Linked DNA regions of Lepisosteus oculatus. The protein of the gene in region 3 purifies or fractionates together with the protein of the main gene of each other region. This does not show direct contact. Links are inferred from orthologs where the notes say so. Each region holds a gene or a part of one and is shown on either strand. Other genes may lie near its edges. The genes, in order: rpp40, rpp30 and rpp21.

Region 1 (10,555 bases), on a different chromosome or scaffold from region 3:
AGTGCTTCACACTGGCCAAACTGAGACCCAGCGCATCTGCAAACTGAACCCTTTTCCTGCAGCTCTGAGAAATCTCATTGAACAAGGTGGCTTGGTCCGGATAAGCAGGCAGAGATCTCGCCCTCCTTCTATCTTTTAGGAAAACGTCTTGCTGATCCAAGTGTGCAAAACCGTCAGCATGTTTACTGCAGATGTCTGACGGCACTTCTCCGCCCCCCTTTAGATTGCTGTGTTCCACGGCTTCAGTCCGGAGAACGGACCCTTCTGCAGTTCTCGAGTCGGACGTATCGTTGAACTCAGTTTTGTTTGTATCCATGAGTTGTTTTCAGTGCAAGCGAGTGCACGTTTAGGGGGGAAAATTGCTCTGACTTATTGTTGCTCCCCCCCCCCACCCGTGTTTTTAAGAATATCCGGAGAGGTCCGGGAGAACAAGCTGCCTGTTGCTGTCCAGCATCAGCTAGTTTTGTGGTGCGTCACAGCAACGTAACTTAGAAACACAATATTACGGAAATAACCAAACCAAGAAGAGACACACCGGGCAACGAGGCAAACAGCACGTACTGTAGAATATTATAGGCTCATTATAATAGTGAAAGTAGCCTGTGGCTATTTAGACATAATATTGGCGAGCATGCGTTTCGAAATTGAAATTATACAGTAAGTTCTATTGGGGAGGTGCGGCAGCGGGCGGGTTGCAAATAAAAAGCCGTTTAATTCCACACTGCGTCGAATGCGCTTTCTTTGCGCGCTGCGCTACATGTAATATCCAGGCAGCGAACAAAAGGATCCATTTTGGTATAAACCCACATACACTCATTGCACACAAGAGAGAAGACTTCTAAACTATAACTGGCATTTCCTATTCTCAGTACAGTTTTGAAGTAGAGTGTACAGTACATACAATATAAGCTTGACCCTGTTGCGTCTGACATGGGACAGCTGTTTGAAATAACGCTGTCAATCCCAACAGGCTTTATAATTTTTTGTTAAGTCTGTCTTGTACTTCGTTGTCCATATACAATCACCGTGAGGGTAAACGTCTGCGTATGTAGCGATGACATTTGATTTATAACAGGGATAGCTTTACCGCATTGACATGTTTTAGCATCCCTGTCATTAATTTGCACTCAGCAGCTTTTGTTACGCTTAAGCCTTTCACTCGTATCTCGTTGTTTTAAAGTAATTATTGGCTAACTATAACAAGAATAACATGATATAACGCATATTTTGCGTGAAAACGTTTTTTTTAAGTCAACAGATAACTCAGAAGTTACCAAATGTAACGAAAGAATATCGGATAGTTTACCTTTTAACAATAAATGACTTAGGCCTGACCACAATTCTAAAAAGCGTCGAATCGTTAACGGCTGAAACATTGAAGTGCTTTTGAAGCACCAGTGTTTGTGTTTCAGCAGTAGTACTGCATAAAACCCTTGATGAACTGGAAAATACATAAAAACTTTTTGTCAAAGCTACTTACAGCACCATGACTAAGTCTGTATAACTTGCCTCTAAAACCTTTCCCCCCTAGGGGGAAACTATACAATATGCTGCCTCATTCATACAGATAAAAGGTTATGTTGGTGATATGAATTATTTATTTTACATTCGGTAGACACTCAACAGTTGTTAGAGCACTGTTCGCGTTATGCAGTGAGATATACAATCTAAATAATATATATTTACCATTTTATAAGTAATGTATGTATTGTAATGCAAGTAAGTCTATGCTTGGATAATAACAACAAATGCTCAACAGAACAAAATAATGAAAATGGGAAAGAATTTGTAGAAATAACGTCACACAGGAAAAGCAGCTTGTTCATCATATCACATCTTTAAATATGTCCTTTAAACCCAATGGTTTGAACTCAGTTAAGTAAATCAGCATAAATTACATAACACAGACTTTGCGCATTTAAAAGCTAAATGTACTAAATACGTCACAAAGAAGGCAAAAAGTGTACTATCACAAATATCTGTTTTGATGACCAGTGAACTACGCACATATTTGTTCGCTCGTGTACCTGAATAACAAAGCACTGCGGGAAAAAAAGCGTTTATATTGGAGTGTCCGGTCCAAAGACTGACCGCGCTAAATAATGCAGTATTATGTAATATTATACTGTAGATCCCGCATCAAAAGCACATTTAACACATGCTTTTTTAACTGCGTTTTTCTGTTTGATTTTAAAGTCCAAGAAACACTTTTGCCTAGTAGCATTGCTTAACAGAAATCTGTCTCCATCTACTTTTCAATTTGCAGCAGCCTAACAGAGTACGACATCGGATATAGTTGTGTCGCATTGTTGCATATCAAAACTATACTGCCTTCACCAGCTGGAATTAACATTATGATCCTTATTTTTTTCCCCCGTTGTAATGGGTACATTTGGTACTTTTCTTAAGATTATTCTGAAACTGAGAAACGAAAAGCTATAGATATTCAATACATTGTTTCAAACGGGTAGACAGTAAAATTAAAAATTCAAATTAACATTTACGTTGATAAGTTCTGGGCACGATATGCACAGTTTGGTATAATATTTTAATAGTGTATAATTTAATTGATTTACAGTAGTACAGTAAAATTACCATCTGTTTAGATTAAGCAGTGGTAGAATAGCAATTATAAATTCAGGAAGATAATTGAGTTACATCTCTGGTAAACAAAAAATATTTTATAGAGCCCCTGTTCCCCTCTTCATCTATTAGATGAGTCAATATTATCACATTGTAATAAAGGCTGATTTGTTAATTTAAATGTTTTTTCCCCTTAATTGCATCTGGTAAATAAAACTGACATTTCCTTCCAAAGGAGTGTGCTGTGGCTCCTGTCTTCAGAAAATTTAATGAGACCGCTGAAATAAAACATGTCACAAAAACAAAAACTTGTAACAGAGTTTTCAAAAAATGGTTCCCGTGAAAAAAGTACTCAAAGAGATTAATTAAAAACCACTCAAAACAAATAAAAAACATTGGGAAACAATGACGGCCAAAAGCAATGAACAAAAAATACACACTAAATGTGTATGATCTTCTAGTAAGAGAATGGAACAAAATCAGAACACAGCGTAGGTCCAATTGCAAATCTCCAGATAGTGTGCAGTTGTCTTTTAAATGCAATAAAGTCAGTAGTCTAAAATATTAGGAACCCCAGTCAAGTATATAGACCACAACAGGTAATATTCTGGTCAAGGAGCAGGAGGCAGAATTTCATCACTTTCTGACCAGGATGATCCCCAGATGTTTATCCTTGTAGATCCCGTGTCTCCTGTGTTTGTAAACAGAGTGTAAATGTCACCTCCACTTGGGTGTTGTAGCCGAGGTGCAGGAACTCTCTGGTCATGGATTTACTTGCCTCCAAAGAATCAACCCCTTGCCTTGCATTATTTTGAACCTGAGACTACACATTGGGCATTGATTTGTTGGTGCACCTTTGGGTTGGAAATCTCCTTTGTACTGTATGTTCCCAGCACTACCTCTCCTTCTGCAGTGTCTTCTGCATGTGAGGTTGGACATACCCCCACTGTCTGCTAAATTCTGGTGGGAGCATGGAGACTCCAGCTGCCTGTTAAGCATTGAGTCCCCACCAGGGACCTTTGTTTGGTTGTTTTGGTACGTAAAATGACCAATTCTGCCTGCAGGATGAGTGAGCTTAAAGGCTGATGGATGGAGACTTTGTGTTGAACCTGCACCTCATTGCGCCGACTAGTCTACCCTTTTTGCCAAGATTGCCTCAACCCTGTGTTCATGGTGGCTTGGGAATGCCTGTTTCCATTCCTGATGACTGCAATTTGTCCTTGAAAGAGCATGCTAGGCCCTCTAAAGTATGTACGGTCAAAGAAACAAAGTCATCCACCTTTGTAAGCCACTTTTAGATGGCTTCTTATTCTATCTAACAATAATGCGGCTTAAACCACATCACCCCAAGTTCTACAAGAGAAGGTTGGACAGGACTGATGTGGCAGGGTACCATTGACCTGATTTGGCATTCAAGCTCAGTAAAGGTCTCTGAAATGCACTTTCCCATTGGGGATCCCCATAAGTCCTTTTTAGGGATCCAGGGCTACTAAGCCTTTCCCTCCTCTGCATACTGCTGCCATCTGCTGGAATGGACAGGTTTTGGGAATGGGAAAAATGCAAAACTGGCCACCCCTGTAACAACTGGCATGAAAACGAATTAAATCAAAACGAATTAAAACTGCACTGTTTTTATTTTATTTTTAGCACTTCCATTCAAGTAAGATTGAAAGAATCTAAATAAAATTTAAAATTTAATCTGAAAGGGCCTGGATTCTTTTCTTTCAGCGCTATTTTAGTTTTTTTATTATGTGGTTGTCCTCTGTTTGTGCAATGCCCCGTTGGGTTTTTTTTAGAAACCTTAGTGCAAATGATTTTTTGTTTCACCCAAAATAAAAATCTGAATCTTACTAATTACTCCATTTTACCGTTTTATTTTCTAACTGTTAAAGGAATATTGTCTATCCAAAGGAATTCCATGCATCCATTTTCTAGCTGCTTCTTCCAATTCAGGATCACAGGAGAGCTGGAGCCTATCCCGGCAAGCAACAGGAGCAAGGCAGAGCAAATAAACAGTTGTATTTAATTTATGTGCCAGAACTCATCTGGAGCACTTCTACAACTAGAGAATGTAAAGCACTTCCAACACCTGAACATCATCAGAGCCACACAGCTTTGATAAACAGTCCTCTTTTATCTTTGCAGTTGGTTCTTACTCAGGTCTGGTGAGCATCCAGGAAACCAGTAATGTGGTGTGGAGCTGCATACTGAATTTGCTCTTCTGTCGCAAGGACCCTAACACCACACCTTAAGATCTGTTCACTTTATTGGCCATATACAATTTCTTGTATAAGAACAAGGACAATGTACATTTTTCTGGATTACACAATAAACAATGACAATGGAAAAGTATCACTGGATGAGATCCACTAGCTACTAAAAGCCAAACCCACTCAGTAGATACAGTAGGCTGAATACACCCCTGTAGTTTGAAAACATTATATTATTTTACATTAAAAAACACAGATACTGTATATATTGTCCAATGTTACAAGCTCTGTGGGAATGTTCCAACACTTTCAGTCTGAGCTGAATTAAAGTCCTCCAGGGTCCTGGGCAACCTCTGTTTCCTATGCCCTGTAGATGGAGGCGTTTTTAAGAGTGTATTGAATTCAATGGGTAGATAGGTAATACAAATTTAGGATTTTGTTCGAAAACATATTTATTGAAGAAGAGATATTTGTTACAGTTTTATCATAATCATAAAAATGCTCAAAATTTCTCCATAAACGGTTTAATTTTCGTACGTCTTTGGCAGTCTTTGGATAATACGGCCCTGCAAACATTGACGTCTCAGGTTTGAAAGCCGCATTTTTTAAAGCCCTCCTTAAATACAAAAGTACTATTTTTTATGGTTTCTCGCTTTCCTTCTTACGAAGGTGTTTCTTGTTTGTCACTCACATTACCGCACAAAGATGATGTACTGTATGACTGTATGGAGCACTGGTTAAACCTCCGGTTTATAGTATAACTCGAATATTGTGGACTCACTTCTTACGCGGGGTTCTGCTCTTCTGCTACAGTTGAGCAAAGAAATTTACTATTATTGCAAAAATGTCTAACTGTATAAATGTATAAATCTATATAATATATACATTTAAGATGATTTAGATAAAAGTATCAGGGACATTCGAAAATATGTTATATGTGTTAATAGAATATATAGTTTGTGCTTCCTAAGCGGTTTGCTGTACTACATAGCCTGTACTGAATCTCAAGGTTTTCGTATCCCTGAGTTTGCTGCATCCACAGCTAAAACACCATGAAGACGTTTGTGTTTGCGCAGGACCTGCGCTTGAAAAACTACACAGCATCAGCAACTGCGTGCGAGGTTAGTGACGTAAGGCGCAGATTGGCAGGTCAAATTCGCAGCAGGGAGCACGCGACAGGAAGTGATGTCATCTGCGTCATTTTACAGCCTACCATTGGCTACTCAAAGGCGCGTGTACGAAGTGGTCAAAGAACCAAAACAGAAGAGGAAATACTTCTCATCTTGAGCCTTGCTTTTGCATAAACGAAGTAACGCGTTGAATCAGCTTTGATGAAGGCACTGTTTTGTGCTTGTGACTAACAATGCTGACTGACCTGGAGAAGTGTCCAAGGCATTTACTGGTGTGTGAGAAATCGAATTTCTTGAATGAAAAGTCACGTCATGACGTCCACGTGGCCGGTCACTATTTTAACTACAAGGTGAGTGGTGAGTGTTGAGTGTTGAAAACGTGATGTTTTTTGCAGACGCAAAAATAAACGGTGATATTTTAATATGCTTACTTTACAAAAGAGCAAAAGCATTCGGTCGCTTCTAATAAGACAGTCTGCGCTAAAAGGCTATACAGATTAAGATCTGATTTACAGTATGTTGTCTCCAGGGAACAGCTGCATGAAATGAACAGAAACTGAAAATGAGCCAGAACTTCCAGAATTCCAAACCACCAGAGTCCTATAAGCAGAATTCGTGTATACCACATCATCTCTGTCTTCTTTTTGCTTCTATGTTCCTGATAGATTCTTCCACTCATGTGGTTACGTCTTTGATTTAGCAGAATCCTACCGGTAATTTGGAGTCTTATAAGTGATTCCAGGGCACCTTTTCAAGTCTGATTTCGTTATGTATTCCTGGTAGATTGTTTTCTTACAGTATTTAAATATAATAAGAGTGTATGCATCTTGCACTGGGGCAGCTTCAAGTGAAAAATACTGAGAGTCGTGGGCTGTAGAATTTGCAAGGACGATTTTAGTTCAGAGACAGATGTCATTAGGAAATTAATCTTCGAGTGACAGAAACAGGAAACGGTGACGTCAGACAGAAATGCTGTTTGTAACCTATGTTGAAAAAATATTGGCTTTTATAAAGACGGACAGAGTAAAGGTCTGAAATGCCCGGATGTATTTACAAATCATATCCACTTGTATCTAAAGACTGACCTATGGTGATTCTGCTACAGTACAGAATTTATTTTGAATTTTGATTTTACTGAATTCGTACATCTTGGTGTTTTCTAACTTCTTCTTCCAATTCAGGGACACAGGGGAGCTAGAGTCTATCCTAGCCAGCAACAAGTGCAAGGCAGGATACACTCTGGACTGGATGTCAGTCCACTGCAACTGGGAGAAACACAGACAAACGCAGAGAGAACATATAAACTCCACACAGATATCACCTCAGGAATTGAACCCAGGGCCCCAGCACTGCAAGGCAGCAATGCAAACCTCTGCACCACTGTATCATCAGAAGCACTAGCAAAGTTAACCTATGTGCTTCTTCAGAATTAACACTGAAACGTGAATCGGAGACATACGTGGAGTCTAAGCAGAAGTGCAGGTTAAAGTGAGAACAGGAGGCACTTCTTCACACAAAAGGATGTGGGTGTCTGGAACAAGCTTCTGATGCCATCTGCTCTTCCATGAAATGCCTGGATAAGATCCTTGGATTGACTTATGACCAACCGAATTAAATATATTGGCAAAAATGGGCTTCCCTCATTTGTAATGTTTCTTACGTTCTCATACAACATTTTTCTACATCACAAAAACACATCACAAAAAACTGAATATTGTTAAGGTTCATAGGTTCAGTTTTTATGAATTCCAGTTGTGCCATCAGTTTTGTCACTTAAAAGCAATACATTGGTTTCTTAGAAAACAGGTTGGTTGTTATAAATTCTTTTGTTATAGTGTGAAATTAGTTTGACATGCACATTTTCATTTTATGCATCTTATGTACTCCATTGTATCAGAAATCTGAATTGAATTTCTGTTTTTCAAACCATCCTTTAGAAAACATAGTAATCGCTTTTGTGGATTTACAAACACCAATCAAAGGTGATTTTAGTGTGTTGGGACAGTAGAACCAGCTGCCTCCAGAAAACGAACAGAAATAAAGCAGAAATTAAGATTAAGATTAAACTGTTTTTTTATCAGTGTGGACTGTAGAAATGTTTGGTCAGGGGAAGTTGTTTTCTGGCAGAAACAAGTGTGTACATATGTATTTTGGTACAAGTAAATGTTACTTTCCCCATGCTGAAAAATATCCAGGTGTGAAGAAGGCTCAAGGGCCAGAATGTTTCTGCTTTCAGTGTGGATTAACCCTCTTCTTCCTTCTTTTTTTTATAGCAAATGCAAGTTGATGCAGTGCCTCATTCATATGCATTTATGCCTTTTGCTAAAAATCTGACAAATAGGAATTGTATATCCTAAATTATCCCTTTTGATTGTTCTTTTTAACAGGTTTCTGTTTTAATTCCTGAGTGTGGAACACTACCATTGGGGCTAAAAAGCATTGTGAATAGCATTGCAAAATATTATTTGGTGAAGAACTTCCCCATCTATAAAATACTGGAAGAGAAGTTTCTTGAAAAGCAGGTGAAAGCAGGTAGACCTGTTTTAATTTTCACTGGAGTTTGAATTTATTAGTGGTCGGGTTCAGTCGTTTATTCCCATGATTGATTCTGAGAAAGAGATTGAAGACACACCACTTCTGATTCCCTAAAGAAAAAATCTGTCTGCTCGTTCATGTGAATGTCTTCCCATTCCTAAGGCGCAGTGTTCTGTGCATTAAAATGAGTAGCATCAATATGGATACTATATTCACACCAAATGCAAAATGGAATACTATGACAATGATTATTGTCAGACATTATCTGGTTGCTTGGCCTTGTGTGTTATACTGTTAGATGAAGGCACTTTATGCACAGTGCTTGGAATCTGTGGGAAACTTATGCAGTCCTCTGTGTGTGTGAGTGCCCTTTTCAGTGTGCCTGATGTCTGTAGTTCTGACTCTTGCATCTGATTTGAAAGTTTTTGTATAATTGCAGGATCCCTCTGTGCTCTGTCATACAAAACCAGAATAGACCAAGACAACACTTTTGCACTTCTTCCAACGGGTAAGATAGATCAAGACGATTTTACACTTGATGAAAGACAGAACTCCATGAATATGCCTGTCCGTGAAGACCATATGTTGATTGTTTGTAATCCTTTTATCCTGTGTACGACCCTGTGCCATACTTGAGCAGTAAATGTGTGAAATGCTCTCAATTGTAGCACAGAATATCTGTTTTTAGGCGTGGGAACAGTAGTAAAGGAAGGAAAAGTGAAAACATCTTGTTATTCGGGTAGTTTTTCTATGATTACCTTAATAACTAAAATGCCTTTTAATTGCAGGAAAACTAGTTTTATCTCTTGATAAAGACACCTACGAGGACCTAGGATTGGAGGGCCAACCGTCACAGTATAACCACAAGGTGCCTGTGAGATATGGTGAGTAGTGGCTTGGCCGTGCTGTGCCGAGGTGGTGGAAATGCATGCTGACAAGGTTGCACATGCATACTATATGTTTGAAAGAGGTCTTCTTTATATTGAAGTCTCCTTTACCTTCAGTTACTGCTTATCCAATTCGAGGTCCCAGTGGCCCGAAGCACCGAGCGCAGGCAGGATACACTTTGGATGACACGCCAGTCCATGACCGGGCAGACGCAGACATGCAGACACTCACACTAGACCCAGTTTTCCAAGAAGCCAATAAACCTACCAGTATGTATTTGAAGCGTGAGAGGAAACCAGAGCACCTTTCTGAACACGGGGAAACCATACAATCTCCACGCAGCACCCCAGGAATTGAACCCAGGGCCCCAACACTGTGAGGCAGCAATTTATTTTTTCTCCAGATTTCCAAATCCTTTTGTTTATTAAATAGTAAATGTCATTTCTCTTATTTAACTTTGCTTTGGTGTTCTTTTTAATGTTGTATAATAATGTGATTTTCACTCTTCACGTTCACTGCTTTTGCCTTATGTTTGTAAGTTTATTACTTACAAACCCTCCACCACCACCAATGTGCAGCATCCACCTGGATAATGCGACGGCAGCCATAGTGCGCCAGAACGCTCACCACACATCAGCTATCAGTGGGGAGGAGAGCAGAGTAATGTAGCCAATTCATAGAAGGGGATTATTAGGAGGCCATGATTGGTAAGGGCCAATGGGAAATTTGGCCAGGGTGCCGGGGTTACACCCCTATTCTTTTCGAGAAACGCCCTGGGATTTTTAATGACCACAGAGAGTCAGGACCTCGGTTTTACGTCTCATCCAAAGATCGGCACCTGTTTACAGTATAGTGTCCCCGTCACTACACTGGGGCATTAGGACCCACATAGACCGCAGGGTGAGCGCCCCCTGCTGGCCCCACTAACACCTCTTCCAGCAGCAACCTTAGTTTTTCCCAGGAGGTCACCCATCCAGGTACTGACCAGGCTCACACCTGCTTAGCTGTGAGTTGCAGGGTGATATGGCTGCAGGGTGATATATCATTATGGCTGGAGGTTGTGTTTTTGGTGACAATGTATATACAGTATACAATATAGAATTGTTTTACAAAAACTCATAGTTTAATTCAACTATGAGTTTAATTCAAGCAATTCATAGTGCACCAAAAACTGTGTTCAATATTTGTAATTCTTTGTGATGAACTAGT
Region 2 (10,972 bases), on a different chromosome or scaffold from region 3:
TTTGCCACTGCAGAAGTCTTATACCTGACCTCTTTGGAGGCACATCTGAACACCCTGACTAGTGCAATTCTGTGTCGAACACCTGCCCAAGTCATAGAAATCAAAATGGAATTTATATCATAGTGTATATAGTGTTTTTTTAATTGTTTCTAATATATATATCTGTTGGACAACACCTCATTACCTTTGGATGTGCCTCTTTTTTCCCCTCATTTTGAAGATCACATTAAGCTCACAAATTAGCTTACATACAAATTTCAAATGTTAGCATAAGTAATTGATACCACAAATATTTAACACAAGGATACAGGTTAGAAATGTCATAAGGTCCTCTCAAGTCCAAAGGCTGTGGGAAAAAAAGATAATATATGTTAAATGGTAAAAATGAAAAAGCACGAGAAAAAAAGAGTCTTACAAAACTCATTTAAAGGAAGGCTAGACACAGCAAGCAGCAACATAGTCCTACAGCCTCAAAAGATGAGTCTTTTTGTACTCTTGGCCCTGTTGCTCCTCCAGGGCTGGATAACAAATTTACACCTTCTTATCTCTCTCTAGGCTCCTGCTGGTCACCTGTTTGGGTCTAGAAGAGAAGCTTTACTACCACCAACCATTAGAAGTATACCATCTCTCACTAGCTTCTGCTTCTGAACTAGCCTGTCAGCATCTATTGTGTACTTTACTGCTCATACCCCATTTCCTTCCTTGTCAAGTATAGCCCTGGTGCTGTAGTCCTTTTGTTGCTTTGGTCCCTATATTGTGTAGGGGTTCACAACACTTACATTAATTGATTCCATAGCCAAGCATCTTCAACACTCAAATTCTTTTGCGTTAGCTCGTTTAATCGATTTTAGCCCTGCTTTTAACACCATGCAAGTTCATACTCTCTTACAACGCCTGTGTGACTCAAATGGGAATGTTATATGCTGGATCAAAGATTCCCTTACAGATCGACCTCAGAGAGACGCCTTGAATGGACGTGTACTGTCACCTTTTTTATTCTCAATATATACTAATGAGGTGAAGATTCAAAGTACACAGCCAGTCTGATTAAATATGCAGATGACATGGTTTTCGTGGGACTCCGTTTAAAGGACCAACATCTGGGTGAGCAAACTTACTTTAAAAACATCAGTATTCTTGAAAACAGGTACCAATCCCGCACACTGGAAATAAATGTGGCAAAACTAAAGAGCTTCTTTTCAATGCTTAGACCAGCGGAGGGCAATCTTTGCAGACAATAGTTCTTGTCAGTCCGTAGAGGTTGTGGAGAGTTTTAAATATCTGGGAACGCATATTGATCTGAGGCTGAGCTACACTGAGAACATAGACAATATTTTTAAGAAAGCAAGATAGAGGGTGTTTTGAATCCAAAGACTCAGGAACTTTAATGTTAGTCAAAATCTCCTAGAGATGGCATTATAAAAGCCTTGTCAAGAGCGGCCTGGCATTTAACATAACAGACTGGTATGGAAACCTGGGGCTGAAAAGCAAAACCAAACTGTCCAGAATTGTGAAAATGGCAGGAAAAATAATTGGGAAACAGCCGCCCCAGCTCAACGAATTACGTCATAACGCAGTTCTCAGAACGGCAAGGAAAGTCACAGCTGATTCCACACACCCACTCCTTTCTCAGCTCATAATCCTCCCATCAGGGAGACGCCACAGGGGACCAAAATCACATAAAATCATTTATAAGAAGTCCTTTGTCCCCTCTGTTATATCAATGAAGGTATGTAAATGTATCCCCCCCTCTACCTATTTATTTATTCAACTATTTATGTATTACATATTGTTGTTTGTGATTTCATGTGACTTTATGTGATTCTTATGTTTTGCTTGTGTTTGTACTTCTGTGGGAGAAGCCAAAGGCAAATAAAGTGTCTATCTATAAATGTCAATGTGTGACGGAATGTGCATTTAACAGTATTTTATAGCATTTGAGTTAAAAATGCCAGTAGTTCCTGAAATTGTAATAGGAAGAGAAATGAATTATAGAAAATACCTTTTCTGCTCCACTGGATATTATGACATTCTGCAACCAAAAAAAAAGTAAAAAGTAAAGCAATTAGCTTGTCACCACTTGTCTTTGTTAGGCAAACATGCATATTTTAAAATTTGTGCTCACAAAGACACAGCATTTTGACATATTTCAATGCTCCCTGAAATAAATACCTTTCCTTTGCAAGTCTGCATCAGGCTGAGTGCATTTGAGATTGTATATCTTCTCATGGTAGAGTCTTTAATAGCGGGGGTGTAAGTGATCTCAAAGAACACTCCCCTGTCTATTGCCTGGAAAGCAAAAACATATTTTAACCAAACGTAAGGCTGTAATTTGCATGTGCTATATTGACAAATACCCTAGTCCAGAATCCATTGAATTAATAACTGAAATATTTAAAAATGCTTAAATTTAAAAAACTTGAAATTTTGTCATTTTCTCCCATCTTGCCTTTTCCAACTAGTACTTCCAATTGACTCCTAGCCAAATTATTTTTTATCCAATATACAGTATCAATGTATTCAAAATAGAGATAATCCAAAGTTGGAATGTTTTTAATTAATCAGGCACACACAGATTTGAAAACAAAAATTCTGCAATTATCTAAATTGACAAGGTACGGTATAATGTACTTACACCATTTACGGGAGGTCTTTTGAAAAAGAAAGGCTGCTTTTCCGTGACAGTGATACAGATTATGTCAACATCAAATGTCATGCAGGCTGCCTGTTAACACACGAATATCACGAGTAGGTACATTTCTGACAATGGCTGTCAGGCTACCAAAATCCAAATGATGCAAAGAGGGGTGTTATTATATCTGTCAACATTTGTAGTATCCTAAAAACCATATCCACATATCAGCAAAAAAATAATATCAAGTGGCAAATTGCTGCAGTAAATACAATACTTTTAACTCTGGACATTCCAGACCGACACTCTAATCAAGAATATGTTTACAATTGACTTTAGAAAATGGATACCTATCTATTTTAATATTATTAGTAAAACATCGTGTTAAGAATAATTTGAAAGCAGTACTACTTATTTAGTATTCTTCTCCTTTTCTTTTTGTGATTTAGAAGCAACAAAAGAGCTAAATTCCTACATACATGAAACAGCTTCTCTGTTTTAGGGACCACAGCCACAAGGTCATAATACTTCAAATCTGCAGAAGGCCTCTAGGAAAAGAAGGAAAAAAAAATAAGATCACATAATATTATAAATGCACTGTCATTTATAACACATTCCACAGCAAAAATGTTGTACTTACAAAGTGAGATGCATCAGAAACTCCGAGTGTTAACCTGTTCAACACCTTAATTGGCCTGGATTTCCCCTAGGAAGAAAAGAAGCATACATTTAGTTTATAAACTCTTCAGTCTGTCTTGGAGAGAAATTAGTAGTGCAAATGTGCTGCGCTACTATTTTAACGAAGGAGCAGCATTTATATATTTGAAATTGGCAAAATACCCATGACTAAAACTGGAAAGATGAAGAACTCTGGCTTGAGAACTCTATTCAGTGACGTTTATAAGCTGTTTAGCTGTTACCCCACAGGTGTCCCAGGCCATCAGATGTAGACAAGTCAATGTTAAGTGTCTACTGTGCTCCAGATTCTGAACCAAACCCATCATCCAGCTCAGCCTTGTCAGGCTCAAAAGCTCCACAAAGTAAAACACAAAGTTGTACTACAAAAGAGCTGACTTTACTGACATCATATTTAGCCATCTCAGTTCAAGTACACAGAATGACAGCACGCTTATGCCAGTTTAATAAATGCAGAAAAGCACCACAACAACATCGTTACAGTACCTGTACAACAGGGAGTTGTCTGAACAGTTCATCAACAGAAGCAGGTTTCCTTATTTCCTGCAAACCAAACATGATTTCAGCAATGGCATACATTTAGCAAATATTTTGATGGTGTATGATTGACATACAATGTACCCCGATTGTTACCTGCTTCTTTGGTTGTAAATCAATCAGATGATTTATTGCCACCGTGGAATAACCAACTGAAAAGACAGAAATAAAAAAAAAAGATGGGAAAGGGTTTGAGCCTAGTTTTAAATTCGGATAATAGCAAGAAGTGTCCCAGCTTTAATATAGGGACTGTTAAAATTAGCACGTTTTAGGAGAGAAAATTAGAATAAGCAAACAGCTCACTGTAAATAAGCTTTATAAATACAAAGCGAAGTACAGTTGTAATTTTGACTTAAGTAAAAAAGCCTCACTTTGACGATGTATGCATCCAACTGTCTGTATCTGTAAATCAAACATGTGCTCTCACCATGTACTTTTTGGGAGTTACTCGTTATCTATAACTTTTTCTTTGAAAACAATACTTACGATGTGCTGCAGTTTCTATAATATCCCGAAGCTGTTTTTTATCATCAGTGTAGTTTATGTTTAAATCTGCAAAAACAGCCATGTTGGTTCCACGTGAGACACACAGAGCTCATGTCAAGGGTTAAAGTGATTGTCCGCACCGGTGCTGCATGGGAAATGTAGTAAAGGCTAAGTAATATACCGTCCATCTTAAAGAAATTAGATAAACATTTAGTGTATTTCTGAATATGCTGTGTGTACAGTTCTCGTTGTTTTGTAAGAGTTAAGAGATTGTTTTTACGCTCATATGTATTATTTGTTATCTAAACACTGTTAAACACAGTATAATTGAATTTAACATAAATGTTGCATCTCCAGTTAATCATATTGGGGACTTTACTGGAGGTTTTTTTCGAATACGCATGATTTATAAAGCTGTATTTCATAGCCATACAAATTCCCATTGGAAAAAAAAGAAAAACAATTTCGTCTTTCCAGTTCCGCTTCCTTTCCCATGACCCTCTTCGCTAGTGACGCCTGATTGGTTGATTTTAAAAATAAGAACCGCGATCATTTATGAAGAACGGAGTGCTGTGGTTTGGATAAAAGGTTTCGGGGGGGGAAAAAAAAAATCATTGTCTGTGTAAGTTTGGTGATATTTCTGGTTGTATTTCAGAAAGTATTCATGTTTGTGCATAAATGGTTGTTGCTATGATTTGCGACTTTTTAAATTGTTTGCACTTATTTTTTTCCGTTCCAAGTAATAACAACGTGAGGTAATCCGAAGTAGTTTAGTTCTAACCCCTAAAAAACCAATAGGGTTTATACAACGCAATTACGTTTTAGTTTCAAGTTTTTTTAAATGTAAAAGTGGTTTAGGAGATTGCGGTGTATAGGTGTTTCTGGGGAGATGCAATTTATTGGTATTGTTTATCATGTGAGCTGCTTGTTTGGCTGATTGTCAAGTGTCATTTTGTCTGATGGGTGTTTTCCTGCTTGATTAATAAATTCTTTAATAGTTAAAGATGTATCGGTCATTCAATTCCACGAAAACTAGGTCCTAGTTAGATGGGTGGGATATTTGCCAAGTTTAGATTTACTGTACTCCTTGTGTTTGATTTAAGGGCGTGGATAGGAAAAAAAAGTATATTAATCTGTAAACCAGAGTCTGGGACTCGGAAAATCTGACATCTAATGGAGAAAATAGGAGAACACTTCCTTCCTATGAGCAGTAAATTTCTCTACTGTCTGCCTAAACAGGTCCAAAATTAATAACATTATTCTGAGTTACAGGTGAAGCAGAAACGTGTAATGCAATCACAGAGAGATAATTAATATAAAACTTTAAAAAGCTATAAGAAACAAGTGTAAACATTTGGGGAAAATATTAGATTATTTATTTTCACTAATAATAATAATCAATGAGTATTTTGCATAGATTTACTGTAGATCTGCAGGAGGCTACACATGAAAGAATGTGTATGTTAATACAGATTTGTCTTTGTTATCAAGACTTGGAGAAATATCAATATCCAAAATATCAAGCATTGTAGAAATAAAAGTGCGCAGAATTTATGAGTATTTAACAAATTGTAGAATTTAAATATTGAAGTTATGTCCAACTTTACGGAGCCTTCTTAATACCTGATTTAGAATATTGTTTAGTTTAGTCAGCATACCAAAGAAAGATTCTTGACCTCGAGTTCAAAGCACACCTGTGAGAATAATTCCTGTTCACAGGGAATTGTCATATGCAGAGAGGTTAAAGGAATACAATTTCTCAATGCTAGAATAGAGATTGGTTAATTCATATGTAGCCCTAAAAGTTAGTCCAAGGGAGTACTTCAGATAAATGTTATTAAATATTATGACCCAATACCCTGTTTTGATAACGGGAACGTGGGGTCATAATTGGAAACGAAAAAAGGAATTGTTTTAGGATGGAAAATAGTAATTGTGTTGGCATTACACAAAATGTTGTGGATATCACTCTTGGGCATCCCAGCCATATATTTGAAACCGAAACCTTGGGCTCCATCGGTTAGGTAAAATTTCACATTCACCGAGTTGCCAAATACGAAAAGAGAGAGAGTCTCCACTATTTTGCAACCTTATAATTTTGTCTAATTTTGAAACTAATGTCTGTTTTTTGCACTGCATATTTTTATAGCATGATGGAATCCTGCTTTAATGACAGATTGGAAAAAATAGAAGCTGTGAGTATAGAGGATTTGAAAAAAGATCTTTCTGGAGAGTTTTTGTCCATGTCTTCTGTTACTTCTGAGGTAAGCTGCTTTTAAAAGAACTGATTTAATTCATTTTAAATTGCTGTTGACCTAAAGTTTAAGAAGGTGTTATATGATGCATCTCTATCACATGCTAAGCATGGTTAATCGGTAATTGTCACGTTAGCTAAACAGCCCTGTGCCCCAGCGTAGGGGTAACAGACAAGTTAGCCCTGTAACGTAGCCTTTTTCTAAACAGATTTGCAATCAAAAGTAGTATATTACATTTTTACAGAAATGGGAGGACATGATTGTTCCAAATTTCTACATTTAAATATAGTGCCATATATTTCATAGCATAATAAGCTTCCTTTGGTGATGTGTAAGCTGTTTGTTTTTTGCTGGTAACTGCCCTTTATTTTAAAATTTTGGTTTCCAATGCATTCGATTACTTGTTTATACCTCTTGATTGTGTATGTTTTGGCATTCATTTGTAGTTGAGGTTGTATGCCTTTTGAGGATCTCTGAAAGCTCAGAGTGTCCTCCACTCAGGAAGTTCCACTGGTGCGTTAAGCACCGTTCTTAAAATGTGCATATATGCCTTCCAGGAGTCCAGCTTACAGGAGAGAGAACACTTGCAGGTTTACCTTCGTATCAGACCTTTCACACAAGCTGAAATGGACAGCGACGAATCACAGGTAAGCGGTAAAAAGGCAGAGCGAAGGGTGTCCAGTTCTTAACATGAGGGTCTCGCAATGTGAGCAGTAACCGTCTGTAACGTGTCAAATCTTGTAATTCTAGATTTAATTTCTCTTCTCTTCTTTCTTTAAACGTGCAGGAGTGCGTTAGCATTGAGAATCCAGATAAGGTGTTCCTCAAGGCCCCAAGGAGCTCTTTATCATCTCGGCTCAGTGATAAGTCACTTCCTCAAACAGCCCAGCGGTTTCAGTTTTCACAGGTGAGTTGTCGAACCCAGATCTAGCACATTATCCCATGAAACATTCTCATCTAGATGTAAGGGATGTGACCAGAAATTAATGTTTCATGATTATTTGTTATACTGTCATGCTCATTGTTTTTTCTATGTTCACTTTCTTCAGGTTTATGGTCCAGAAGCAACACAGAAGGAGGTTTTTGATGGCACAGTCAAGTCTTTAGTTAAAGACTTTCTTCAAGGGGGAAACTCCCTTGTTTTTACTTATGGAGTAACCAATGCTGGAAAGACCTTCACCTTTTTAGGTGTGATTTTCTACGTTCTTTTGTGCTATTTCTGTTATTACAAACCATCCATGGTTGCAAATGTAGCTTAGTAACTAATAATAAGATTTTTGGTTTTACAGGGCCCGAAAACAATAGTGGCCTTCTGCCAAGATCTTTGAATATGATATTCAACAACATTCAAGATAAAATCTATACAGAAATGGACATTAAACCACAGAGATGCAGAGAATACATGAGGCTGAACAAAGAGCAACTCACGAAGGAAATCGCAAACAAAAAGACCATTCTGCGATTAGCAAAAGAGGTAATCTTTCGAAATTACTACCTTTTCGTATTCCCTGTGCTTCATACTGTTACTTATCTAAATTTATCTATGCAGTGTGATTTACAGAAAAGCATGATTTCTCAATTGAATTCGACCAGCAAGTCAGCCATATTTGAAGGTATGTATTCACGTTCAAACTTTTAAGGCCTATTAAAGGATTTTTTTAATATATATATATAAGTCAAACAAGGGTTTTGCCCAATACTACTTCTTGAAGAAGCTAGCTATGTGGAATATTTGCCAATCAACTCGACACTTGCATTTGTTGTTGAAATCGTTTTTTCCTCTTGGGTTTGTATTCTGTTTTTTCACAGGCACTGCTGTGAACAACACAGAAGAATTGGATTCAGAAAGCTTCACTTTGGATATGAACAGTCACTCCAAATACTCGGTCTGGGTGTCTTTTTGTGAAATCTATAATGAAAACATTTATGACTTGCTTGAAACGATCCCAAATAATTCCATGAAGAGAAGTACTCTTCGGCTCTCACAAGATGTGAAAGGGAATCCTTTTGTAAAAGGTATTTCTGTTTTCTTTTTCTTTGGGCTTCACTGTACTGGTGGGGATGTTGGACAAGAACTCTTTAAGGTGTATATGTGATAGGATTTATGAACTGACATCTTAAAGACCTGAGTCTTTCTACGTTTTTAGATCTCAAGTGGGTTCAGGTGAGTGATGCAGATGAGGCATATAAAGTTCTAAAATTGGGGAAGAAACACCAGAGCTTTTCCTGCACAAAGCTGAATCATCTGTCCAGCAGAAGGTAATGCTATTTAAAAAAAACGTAATTCTAACTGCTTGTTTTTTTTGGGGGGGGGGTTTGGGACATTGCATTATTTCCTTCCACATTCTGTTATGTAGAGTGTTTGCTAATGGAAAAATTATACACAGTTTTGGGAATCTTCACTAGTATTTGATTCTGGACTCGTAACCGAAACTTGTGGGTTCAGATGCTTGGTGGGACACTGCTTTTATCTTTTAAGAAGGGTGCAGTTGGAGTAAATACTAGCCATGGAAATGGATCTAAATAAGTATTTCTTTAGATGAAATCAGCCAATTAATGGTAATAATGGAAATGTTGTTTTTGGAACACTCTTATAAGGGACTGAACTCTTCCAATTGTTTTTGTCTTTAAAGCCACAGCATTTTCTCCATCAGAATCTTACGGATTGAAGATCTTGGTATACCTCGTGTACAAAATATCAGCGAGTAAGTGTCGCTTTTGCTACTGATTTTTTTTTTTGCTTTGTTGATTTTTAAATGCAAAGTTTGACCTTCTTTTTTTTCTTTTTAGGTTGTCATTGTGTGATCTAGCTGGATCGGAGAGATGTGCCAAAACCCAGAACAAAGGAGAGCGCTTAAAAGAAGCAGGAAACATTAATAGCTCCTTGCTGATCTTGGGCAAATGTCTCAAAGCACTGAGACACAACCAGCAGTCAAAGTAAGAAGCTAAGTTTTATCATTCGTAACTAGTACTTGGTATACTTTTGGGTAGTTATGATCATTTGTGTACATTTAAAGTGTTTTCAGTAATTTGTTTCCTTTGTTTTGTGTTTTTTCCCCCTTGTATATCTGTAAAGGTACTTACTTGCTTATAAGCTAAAACATTTGATTGGTGCTACTCTAGGACTTACTAGTCTGTCTTCTGAGGATGCTTAATTTATTTTCAATTGAACCACAAGGTGGCAACAGCATACTGCATAGACAGGAGATAATTTTTAGAGATTCTCTAAAACTGGAGAATGTTTGGCCCTAATATTACCGTTAACATTGATTCCCTAAATAGAAAAAACAATTGCAAAACCTTTCTTTTAGCATTTTTCTAGAAAAGTTAATGTATAAAATACTCATAAAAATGAGCCTGGAGAGCTATGTTGGTTTGCAAGCTGCAAGGGACCAAGTAAAGGTTATTTTTTAGGCTTAAAAGCAAGAAATCCACTGTTCTTCAGGGGTGTTGAGGTATGAATGGCAAAGGGGTGGGAAGGTAAGAACTGCAAAAGAGAATGGGTAGAATCGCTGAACAGGGAAACTGAAGAGACTGAAATCTGGATCACAGTTTCCAGGGGAAGAGTGTAAAGGAGAAATGTGTAAATGAAAGAGTAGAAAGATTACTAAATTGTCTCTCGTGGTGTTTACTGTGCATTGTTTTTAGGCTGCTACAGCACGTACCCTTCAGGGAGAGCAAGTTGACCCATTACCTTCAAGGTTTTTTCTGTGGCCGAGGAAAAGCTTGTATGATTGTGAACATTAACCAGTGTGCTTCAATGTTTGATGAAACATTGAATGTACTGAAGTTTTCTGCACTTGCTCAGAAGGTAAACATTTATCTGACAACGTATCGCCTCCCATAATAATTTTAAGTTCTAGAAACTGAGTATGTTGCATGTGCTTACAAAAATGGTATTATGTTTACAGAAAGAAATGCCTCTAATTATCTTTGTTTTTCTTTAAGACTGAGTTTGATATTGATCTCTGCCATTACATTAGCAGCATTAAGTAACCTTGTTCACAGACGGGGCTTTACTTTTCTCATGAAAAGTTAATTACAGTTTCATCTGCTCATTGACTCTCTTTATTTCCATCTCTGCAGGTGGTGGTTCTCAGTACAACAAAGCTCGCTCCTGTTGTTCCAAAGAAGTCAGCCAGAGAGGTGTCATTCATTATTAATAATGCAGACAAAATGAGGTTTTGGAGAAAGAGAAGGAGCTCCTTAATTGGCTGGGATACAAGTTTAGAGGATGTGCAAGAAAACGATGATGGTGAGGAGAAGGAAGAAGAAGAAAGCTTGGAAGAAACTATGGAGGACATCATCCAGGAGGAGGAGGAAGAAGAAGAAGAAGTTGTTGTAAGTAAAGAATCTTATGAGGTAA
Region 3 (10,718 bases):
TTGTAGGAAAAGATTTTTTAAAAATGAAATGCTTCTCCTGTGTGCCTCTGTCTTCTGGGGCTACACAAACATTTAATTCATCTCGGATTAACACTAATTGCAGTCCTGCGCAAGTGTATACTTTATTTTAATTATAGAGTGGTGTGTCGATTCACGAAACAGGTGGGTGTGCTCATCTTTGGTTAATTCAGTCTGTTTAGGTACTGTAGATGAAAGACAAATTTCCACCACTAAAAACATAATGACATATTAGAAACACAATTGTCCAGCCGAAACATTGTGTCTCTTTTTCTTTCAGCATGGAATAAACCTTTACCTGTTCCTTTGCAGCCGACACAGCTACCTACTTGAACTTCCTAATGACATCTTGCCGTCACATTACCTTCAGACTTCAGATTAATGTCTGGTAATGGTAGGATATAATGCTCTCGAAGTCCTTAGTGCAGTAATGACAGAGCTGTGCAGGCAATGTCACCTGAGAGTTACCTGTATTATCCAACTGTGGTTGGTTCTCTAATTGGGCTTCAGGCCGGTCCACCCACAGCTGGTATCCTGGATTGTTAGGGAAACGCTTGGTCTGTCCACAGCTAAGACATCTCACCATTGTCATTCGTTGACGCCGACTACACCCTGAGAACAAAATGAACACTATCAGACAGCACCAATCCCAGTTTATCACTACTGAAGCCTGAGGTATGATGGCACACTGCCCCCATAAGGAAAAAGATGGAATAGTCAGCTGTATAAACCACGTCCCTTTAACTCTGACTCTCACCCATAGATTAATTTTGAAATAAAATTAATCCATGAAAGGTACATTTCCAAGATGAGCTCTTACTGTAGAATTGGATTTAAACAATGGATTCCTGGCAGTAAAAAGTTAAGTGGTGTTAAAAAATATCACATTATCAGAATTTCCCATGTTACGTCTGAACCATTTAGATATCATGATATTACCGACAGCAGAAAAAATGTTGAGCAACTCGACTACATAGGGAGAGCATTGTAATACAGCCAGCCCAATACTTCAAATAGGATTCAGACCCTTGCGTTTTCTTCATTTGGTTATTTCTTAGAATTATGACTCTGTTCTCTGCAATACAATTAAGGTTTCAGTAGTGTTTAAAGCAATTAGCAGGGCTCATTATCTAGTCTGTAGATCTGACTGTTTTATGCTGGTTTTTTTGTTCCTATTTCTTCAGGGGTGTGAATACATCTGGAGGGTACTGTTAATGCACTTTGCCAAACTTACTTCTCTGTCTCACTGTTGCAGTTACTCCAGGAACCAGGAGAGAGCAGCATTTCTTGCACAGTGTCCTTTTCACAGAGGGATCCCTGCAAGAAATGTGAACCATCAGGTTACCAAAACAGATTCAGAACAGGCTTGTGCATAAACATTAGTCAGCCTATTTATGTCTAGCATCCAAAGCAAAGATGGGAAAGGTAATGGCTAATTTCATAACTAAATTTGATTAGCATACTTAATCTACGTAATATACTTCAGAGAGTATTTGCCAGGAGGTGTGTAAAATAAGGACATAAAAAGAAACTCCTAGCAATACACTAGTCACCGGTACAAAACTGATTTCTGTTCCATTCAGATAAAATGACAGAACCATGTCTGTATGTGGTACTCTGGACAGCTCTTTATCAGGTATTGAAAGGACGCATCAGGCCCTGAGTCAGGTGGATGAACCTACTGTCTCAGAACGAGGCGTTTGGAAATGGTCTTCTGAGTGAAGCAGTAGAATCGGGCCAGTTCCACATTCTCAGGGTTCTGTGCCAGGACACAGTGTGCAGCCTGTGCACAGAGGAAAGGAAACAGTGATACACCAAATGTTAAAAGGAACCTATTCTCTATATGCATACATGTTCCTAGAAAAATAAAAAAGGATTTTGGAAAACTGATTAAATGTTTTGGTATCATTTTGATCACTGACCTCTAATGATTCTGGTGACTGTTGTTTAAATACTAATTCGACTCATTAGTGAAAGCTGATTGGGCACAGGTCACTGGAAAAGTGATTCAACCTGTTGAATGTTAAGCCTATCGAGAATCAAAAATGAAAACCAAAACAAACCTCACAGCCTGGTGATTGTAATCTGGCCAGATGTTACAACTGAAAACAGCTCGTCGACGACAGCCACGATGTGTGAAACCAGAGGTCATGACACCTCCCCAATCTCGATGAACAATTCCAAGAGTGACAGTCTGGACCAGTGTGTGTAGTTGCTACAAAACTCCTCGTGCAATGACTGATGGTAATCTGACAACATGACTCCTGGGGCTTCACTCACTACTAATCCTATTGTCAGGACATTCCTGCAGAACAACGTGTCCTCTTGCGGATCAGGTAAGAACAACTTTCTCACGTGAGACGAGAAAATTCGAGTTATGTTGTGGATGCCCTGCTCAGCAGGTATGAGCAACACTGAAAATTTGTGAGATAAGCAGACACAGGTTTGTCCACATTCTATGAGAAGAACAGGACAGAATCTCACAAGACAGTATCTGCAACCTGCTGCAAAACATGTATCGGAAATCTACGGTTTTCAAAGGTGGTGACACAAGGCTGCAATTTTACAGAAGAACCCCTTTGTTGCATCTGTTCTCTAAAACATTAGTGCACCTCCTACAAAAAGGTGTATTTCCTGATAATACTTTCTGAATTTGTTGCAGTTATAATGTAAGAAGTTTATTTGATGTTCAGTATACTTCTCAAACACAAACAAATCAAAATTATTTGCCATTATCAGTACACCGCCCTGATATAATGGAATAAAATATATTCCTTCCAGAAACTCCAACCAAAAACATACCCAGTCCCTCACTGAATGTATTTAATGCATCAGAGACAAAAGTGAATAAAACTTAAGCCCGACCTATTTTGCACAAAAATGTTCCTTCACTGCAACAGGCTATGTTGGAAAGACCAGATACAGGTGTTGATAAACATCTATAATTTTAGACCAGAACTATCCTTTTGCTATTCAAAGGGGCAATGAGATTACATGAAATCAACATTGTAGCTGGTTCGAGGACAACAGTACTTCTTAATTATGAGTTTATTCTACAGTATAAGGTTCCATCTGAATGCTTTCTTGTGGAAAATAGTGCTTGCCAAAGAAAGGCTCTCTTTATGCGTCTCATGTATGGTATATTTTCTATAGTTTTAACCTAAACTAAGCATATCCAATCACACTGTGGCTAATTATCAAAAAAGTGATTAGAAGATATATAATCAAGAGCAGTGAAGCATAGTATTCATATTTATATTTAGCATGCGCATGAGTTTCGAGATATTTGGAGTAGTCAGCTACGACTGAGCACAGTTTGGTCTGCAAATTATACAAAACTGCATTGTAATATAGAAACTGCAGTTCCACTGCCATTCCAGGGCAAAACCATAATACCTGGTAAAGAAAGTTGAGTCTCTGAAAGGCTTCTTTATCCTTGATGTTGCCAGTCATTCTGTAGTTCTGTCTGTGACGCACCAATGACGATCCAGGACAATCTAGGAGTGGATATAAAGCGATCTTTAGTCATATTCTCGTATAAGCAGAACGTAAATTCCCAAACTTAATCTTTCATTGTGTTAAGCGTATTTGTTATATGTGATGTTTTGTTACTGTCATTTGATTCTGAAAACAGTGTGTATTTTATTGTTTTGATTACTTTGCATTCAGCATAACTGGATACAGTATAAGCCATCGAAATAACAATTTTTCTTCCTCAGCAAATCTATTGGATAATACATTTTCAGCGGTGTTTCCGTAAATCGTTTTTAAAGACAAAATCGTTAACTTTGAATTCTCCGAGGTAAACTTGCGACAGTATAACTCACGTGTACAACCGGAGGTCGATCATATATCGCAGAAGTTGATAAAAGTAAGTTTACATCTGTTTAACAATCCAATCATGCACAATTTCTAATTTACAGAAAACCACATGAAAATCAATGAACAACAATTGAAGATGTTCCTAAGATACTGTTTTCTGTTATAAATAAAGTTTTGTAGTGGATGGTAAGCAAATAAGGACACACTGTATAGACAAACGCAAAACGCGTTTTAAAAATGGTGCCAAGGTGGTACTTTGTTGAACGTCGTAATGGCATGAAGGAATTTAATGCGTTGGTAGCAGTCAGCAGGTTAGATTAAACATCAGGTTAAATTATTTACGAAATACAACAACAAATCACAAATGTAACATTAAAATACAAGATAAAAGAACTGGCCCGTACGGGGATCGAACCCGCGACCTTGGCGTTATTAGCACCACGCTCTAACCAACTGAGCTAACCGGCCATGCGACAAACTGGCTCGCTGGTGAGCTCCTTGTTTTTTAAGTTACACATCATATGCATGTTTTTCAAACGATTAATTTATCATGTCGTGTCATGTCATTTCATTTACCGAACCGCTTTATACTGTAACGCCCTCGCTTGGCTTTGCGGCCGAAGAGCGCCCGGCTGGGGTGCCCGGCGAGGGACAGGACGGGAGCAGTGGTGGCCAGGGCGGGGACTATGAGAGTGCGGTGCTGCCCAGTGCAGCTTACCAATGGCGGAACCGGTGTACACAGCAGGGGCGTAGCCACGGGTGGGCCACCCTGATTGATCCTAGTTCTACCCAATCAGTGTAAAGTAATTTAAATATGGTTTTTTTTTGTTTGCGTTATATGATTTGCTTTTTAATGTTACGTGTTTTATTTTTTTCTTCTTATGTGATTTTCTATTGGCTCGCGGTATCTTTTGTGGCCAATAAGACAATTATGTAAATATAGTGGGGCGGTGCATGCGTAGCAGTAGCCTAATTGGCTATCGTTGTCATCAGAGACTCTTAGAGCTATCTAGCGCTAGGTTTTGGGTTTATTAACCAATATGGCAAAACAAATACATATATCTACGTTTTTCAAAAAGCAGCTTGTAGCTGACCAGACCAGTCCCGAAACAAATAAGACACATGAGATGATACAGGCATCTTGGATTTTAAGATTTGCAGCCTGGCTTCCCGAACACAGGTGCACGCGTTTGCTTGTAGCAGCTCGATTCATGCTCGACATGTAGGAGTTAAGCAGGAAGAGGTTTTAAAAATTTCTCCTGTAACCAAATTACAAGTTTTGGAATGCATTAAGATACTATTGACGGATAGATGCGAGTGTGCATTTAACTGATAACTATTCAGATCGCCTCTAAATGCCCTGTAGTATTTTTAAGTGAACGACGTTCACAGAGCTAAAATACATCCAAAGTATGTATTTGACACTTTTATTAGCAGACCATTCTTGCAATTAAAGGTACTATGAATTGGTTAGCACTGTAATGCGACTATAACAATTCAGTGTTGAGTCTTGTTGGAAGTCACGAATTTCCAAATTGGGTGTCTTCAGAACTTAATTTTTTAATACCTTTTTATTCTCATGGCGCCTCACTCGATATTACCCTTGGGGCGATGCATTTACTCCAACCTCTGAAACCCATACGTGCGTGCACGCTCTTCTGGTATGTTATGCTGAAGTCCGCTGAATATTCAACGGCAAGGTAAAAGCTCCGTGAAGTTGCCCCCACTACAGACAGCACAAACGATGAAACCCACCTCAGTCGTTAGTGCTACGTTTGTGCAGTTGAAAACTGCGTTTGTGTTGCTTTCGTTTCCGAGATATAGCGCCTTGTTTTTTCGGGGTCGAGCCTCCTTAGATGTGAATAATACTAACACATGACGCATTCCAACAAGTTAACCATCTATGACATAAACCTAAGGTTGTAACGTACGTAAAATCACCGTGATTGTAAGATCTATAGTTTTTATTTTCTAAGGTACATTTTCCTTTTCTTTCCCTACCGTGACACGCTGTTGCCAAACGCTTAACTGTGGGATACCACCGCGACAAGACCTCCACAGCATGTCATGATAAGGACCACATATATATCGCATGTATATTGCAGCAGTGTATATCACAACTGGCGCCTTGCTTCCATGCCACCCTGTCATCGCTGTCGCAACAAAGGTCTCATATCAAAACATAATATACCCAGATAGGATGTGTCGCGATATATGGGCTTCGTGTCGCAACATGAGAGTGACAGTCTTTGTCATTGTCACGATAAATGGACTCCATGTCGTGACATGGGGGGGCGTTCGTCATATCGCGATATAGGGCCTTTCATGTCGCGACATGGGGGGTGGGCGTTTGTCATATCGCGATATAGGGCTTTTCGTGTCTCGACATGGGGGGGTGGGGTGGGCGTTTGTCATATCGCGATATAGGACCTTTCATGTCGTGACATAAGCATAGCAGTTTTGTCATATCGCGATATGTGGGCGGGGGCGTTTTGTCGGTGTATGTCATATCGCAATATATGGACTTACTGTCGCGCCAGTCGCAATGGCTATCGCGATGTGATCGTGATGCGCGCACTCCTATCCTGACATGCTATTGGAGTCATGAACGCGCTGTGGATGCCAAGACATTCTTTGTCTGCTATTCAGTTTTGACCTCAGTGCGACTTCGCTTAGATTGATTAGTAATTGGAAACCAATGGATGTGTTACTGTATATCCAGCGTGCTCATACAGCACACACTGTTAACCGGGGCGACAGTATTTGGACCAAGAAAAACATCCATCACCTGTGTATCTACACGTTCTCCGAACTTCCGCTGTGGCGCTTTGCACAATCAGAGTGTCGATTCTCACTGAGTGACCTCACCCCCCAAAAGGGCGCTATACTGTATCTCGGGAAAGAAAGAAGCCGGGAAGTTATTTTCAACAACACAAACCGGCACAAACATAGCACTAACGAATGAGACCGGTATGGTTTCCCTACGACATTGTAGGGGGGCTGAGTGACGTCACGACCCCAAACTTCACGGAGGTCACGGTAAACCTTGCATGGTATTTTAAATACAAGTGGGCAGCTGCGTCAGCATGCGTAGGCTGCAAAGGAACAAGTAATAGGTTTATTCCTTGCTGAAAGGAGAAGAAAGAACCTGAAGAAGGCTCCACGGCCGAAACGTTGTGTTTTCTTTCTTCTCTTTTCAGCATTTTAAATACAATATTTCGGACGGCTTTTAAATCTTGCGTTTTGCAATCAGTAGCGTTCGCCAGCCCAGGTAATTGTTGCTTAACCCGTGTGTGTGTGAGAGACAGTATATATATAGGGTTATGCTAATTCCGCTGTTTGATTATACTGCTCGAAGATTGCATTGTAAATTGGAGGGGTGCTCCTATGCTGGCAGGACGGTCAGTTAGAGCCAGGCCCACCCAAAAATCAATTCCTGGCTACGCCCCCGGTACACAGGCGCCATATCGCCGCGACCTGCCGGACCCTACCCGGCAAGGAACGAGCGACATTAAACTGCAGCCCTGCTTACAGTTATTACAAATCCCATCCCAGCAGACACCGTTTGTATTTTGGCTTAATCCCACAATGGGGTTGCACCATTTGGCCTGGAAACAAAAAAAAATGTTCCATTTCTCCAAACTGTGGAGATGCCGTCTCATTTACACATTAACCCAGATGGTTGCTGCTCAGTGGCGGAGAAGTGATTTTCTCCTGTAAAGCGCTTTGGAGTCCTTGAGGGCGAAAAGCATCACGGAAATGCACATATAACACTGTTAATTTTCAAATAAGGTGCTTGTTTCGTCTTTTTAGCTGCAGTGCTGAATCCTTGATTCTTAATTTAATGCTTAAGTGGTGATTTCATTAAATTTCTGCAAATATCATATACCATGCTATTAATATTTCTTGAAAATGCATTCCTTTTTACGTTATCTAAATTTCAGCAAATAAAGTCAGGCAGCAGATGAGAAAGTCATGTCATTTGCCCAACCCTTTATACCATACAGTATTGCAGGAAGCCGGAGCTACCCAGCAAGCCACGAGCAAAAGGCAGGGTACACCCTGGACAGGACACCAGTCCATCGCAGGGCCAATGCAAGCCAATCATACATAGATACTTTATTGATAGATACATTGGGACAATTTGGAGGCCACGGTAAAGGCTGAGGGGTAACTTTGGCCTGGACACTGGGATAACTCCATACTCTTATCGAGAAATGCCCGGGGATCTTTAATGACCACTGAGAGTCAGGACCTCGGTCTAACGTCTCAGCCGAAAGATGGCAGACGAGAAAGTGCTAGTGTAAATTTATGACTACTACCTTGTCTGCCCCGTCTCCGTCATACTCAGTCTGACAAAATGCATTTTTATGCGGCCTTGCAAATCCATGGGTTAAACCAAGTGTTAAAATAACTTAAGTAATAGATTTTGAAATAGATATAAAAAAATCCAGTCTCTTTGGCTACATGGACATTTATCACGCATACTTTTGACACAAAAAGAAAGATTTCTTTTTAGTTTTAGCTGCCTCAGGGGGAGGCTTAATAAACGTTTTCTTTGGAATCTAGTTGTAAATATAAAACTCCAGACATACTGGCCCTCCAGAACGAGGATTGGACATCCCTGATCCCAAACTTTGCTTTCTTCCCTTTGAATTGTGTGTCTTATAAGCTGTTTGGAGTCACTGGTAGGACTGCTGCCTCCTAGATGTCAAGTTAAACAGCATTTTACCAGACCTGTTTTTCATGTTCAATTGGTCTGTTCTTGACTCCTTGCACTTCTAAAACCTCTTACAGTTGAGCCAATCTCTTGAGCCAGGCTTTGCCATTACTTACTGTATATATACAAGTGGTTGAAAGTAGTTTCAACAGTACACCCTGGACCACAGGTCAAGATCTCAAATACCATTTCTAGGTTGACTATTTTATGTCAGAATTACCTCTTTGAAGCCGATACAGTACCTACACACACAGACACCTATCTACATTTTCTCTCACTTTCAAGTGGTAATGTTTGCTTCTGTCCCCGTTGTGTCTTAGGACAGAAGCCTGCATGCCTTACAATACTGTATCTTGGGTGTGACATACCTACCCATTAAAACTGTGTTTCTATCAGTCTCTCTTCCCACTTTTCTACATTTGAACTAAAACTAAAAGTCTAAAAATGTTATGCACATCCTGTTTGACTACAGTATCCAGTTACTCTTTCACTGTACTTGTATAAAAAAACATGTAAAAGAATGACAAAGATGACGGTCTCCAAAAATGTTTTTATGGAACTGAACCATTACTGAAAAAATCCAAAGTTAAATAAAATAGAAAATACATTTTTGGAATAGGCTTCAGCAAATCCACTTGCTTAGTTTCCAGTCTCCAAAATAAAAAATAATATGAACATTTAAATCTTAAATTACTGAAAGAGAGGGGAAGAAAACTTTGAATCCAAAGCTTTTTTTTCTTTGATCTTGCCAATATGAGGCTTTTACTTTCAAAAATGAAAAGTTAGATTCCATGTAAATGGAAATACAGTGATGACCATTTGTCACATCAAAACTACCTAAAGAGAAAACTGCAAATACTTAAAATTTCTGCTAAACCGTCATGTCAGATTGTTAGTTTAAAAACAAAATAAACAGTATACATATACATATATATAAAACAGCTAGTCAAAATGTCCTGATTTCTAGTCTGTGGTTTCCACTTTTAAGTACATAATATACAAAAATTTTAAAACAAATTAAAAAAATCTGAAGGTTTAGCCTCCTAAGTCCCAGTGAATTAGAGAAAGAACTACTCTTGTACAGTAAACAGTTTTTTTGTTAAAAACAAACCAGGAAGAAATAAAAGAAACACTGACAAGTGATGGACTGAAGAGTTAATCCGTGAAGGATTTCTGAGATTTGAGATTCAAGTATTTAGATACCTAAGTGGAACTGGGGAGGGACAGAGAGAGGAATGAGTTTAAGTGAATTTATTTAAAGAGGGAAGAAAAAAAAATATAAATGTATAAAAATTCACAATCAACACTGAATTGGGAGATTTCTGATCAAGTGAAAGCATCACAGGCAAAAATAAAATATATTCTCATTCCTTGTCACAATTCTCCCTGCCAGTTATGAGTACAGAATCCGGCCCTCAGACAGTGAGCTCACAGGAGGTTCATTAGGCCAGACTAACAGCTGGAGAGTAAAAGAAAAGTTCATTAAGGCCAGCAGTGCAGACCTGGTGTCTATCAGGCTGTGTGGTTTTCTCTTTGCGTGGGGAGGATCCGCAGTGAATAGCACAAAGATGAAGGGCTGGGTATCCTCTGGGATGTGGGGGAGTTGGCACATGTCAGCAGTGCAGACAGGCTAGCGGTTGCTCTTCATGGCCTCCTTGGCTGCCAAGATGAGAGGCGTCAGGCTGGAGAGAGGCTTGGCCAGCTTCAGGAACGGGTGCTACGAAGAGGCAAGAGACACAGGGATTCAATGCACCTGGCAACACTTTACCACATTTCCATCTTAAGGTTAACCCCTGGTACATTGTTCATTTGGTAACTAACGTTTCTGGAGCTGAACGAAAATGGATTCATGCACTTCAAATCGGTACATTTTTTGCAAACCTTTTATCTCAATCAACAAGATCCAAGCAAATTAAGAAAAGGTCTAATGACATCAAATTCTATTTGCCCTTAACTCCCGAAGACCAGTTTTTCTGTTGACCAAGTTATAAAATCACAGTAAGTCAACTATAACAAAGATGGCGGTCAGTGACAGTTCATGCAGGAATCAAAATTAATCTTGTTTAAATCTAAAGAGTACTACGACAGTGGTAATTCAGTGACCAGGCCCTGATGTTCTGTTCAAGGCTAACCTGCAGCAGCTCCTTGCCACCTCCTC

The links.
Region 1: the proteins of rpp21 (region 3) and rpp40 purify together in Homo sapiens (co-immunoprecipitation; 3 studies listed by BioGRID and IntAct, counting the BioPlex papers as one, with this or other methods). This does not show direct contact. The link is inferred for Lepisosteus oculatus from reciprocal best matches to the Homo sapiens genes RPP21 and RPP40.
Region 2: the proteins of rpp21 (region 3) and rpp30 purify together in Homo sapiens (co-immunoprecipitation; 3 studies listed by BioGRID and IntAct, counting the BioPlex papers as one, with this or other methods). This does not show direct contact. The link is inferred for Lepisosteus oculatus from reciprocal best matches to the Homo sapiens genes RPP21 and RPP30.

What each region holds. Positions count from the first base shown.
Region 1 is NC_090701.1:18,537,417-18,547,971, forward strand, and holds the start of rpp40 (ribonuclease P protein subunit p40), read left to right. Parts: upstream 1-5,982; 5' UTR 5,983-6,156; coding exon 6,157-6,273; intron 6,274-8,310; coding exon 8,311-8,455; intron 8,456-8,897; coding exon 8,898-8,966; intron 8,967-9,246; coding exon 9,247-9,342; intron 9,343-10,555. Other genes in the region: ppp1r3g (protein phosphatase 1 regulatory subunit 3G), read right to left, coding at 1-316. UniProt on the Homo sapiens protein: Component of ribonuclease P, a ribonucleoprotein complex that generates mature tRNA molecules by cleaving their 5'-ends. Also a component of the MRP ribonuclease complex, which cleaves pre-rRNA sequences.
Region 2 is NC_090699.1:21,220,833-21,231,804, forward strand, and holds the start of rpp30 (ribonuclease P protein subunit p30), read right to left. Parts: upstream 4,485-10,972; 5' UTR 4,434-4,484; coding exon 4,352-4,433; intron 4,018-4,351; coding exon 3,962-4,017; intron 3,872-3,961; coding exon 3,815-3,871; intron 3,339-3,814; coding exon 3,273-3,338; intron 3,181-3,272; coding exon 3,112-3,180; intron 2,726-3,111; coding exon 2,636-2,725; intron 2,290-2,635; coding exon 2,173-2,289; intron 2,033-2,172; coding exon 2,003-2,032; intron 347-2,002; coding exon 309-346; intron 1-308. Other genes in the region: kif20bb (kinesin-like protein KIF20B), read left to right, coding at 6,502-6,615, 7,164-7,253, 7,394-7,513, 7,656-7,794, 7,896-8,080, 8,156-8,219, 8,416-8,622, 8,754-8,865 and 4 more. UniProt on the Homo sapiens protein: Component of ribonuclease P, a ribonucleoprotein complex that generates mature tRNA molecules by cleaving their 5'-ends. Also a component of the MRP ribonuclease complex, which cleaves pre-rRNA sequences.
Region 3 is NC_090708.1:10,612,162-10,622,879, reverse strand, and holds the start of rpp21 (ribonuclease P protein subunit p21), read right to left. Parts: upstream 4,512-10,718; 5' UTR 4,417-4,511; intron 4,309-4,416; exon of another isoform or gene 4,235-4,308; intron 4,011-4,234; exon of another isoform or gene 3,846-4,010; intron 3,516-3,845; 5' UTR 3,472-3,515; coding exon 3,415-3,471; intron 1,802-3,414; coding exon 1,701-1,801; intron 1,336-1,700; coding exon 1,253-1,335; intron 631-1,252; coding exon 487-630; intron 1-486. Other genes in the region: pak2b (serine/threonine-protein kinase PAK 2b), read right to left, coding at 10,191-10,277, 10,693-10,718. UniProt on the Homo sapiens protein: Component of ribonuclease P, a ribonucleoprotein complex that generates mature tRNA molecules by cleaving their 5'-ends.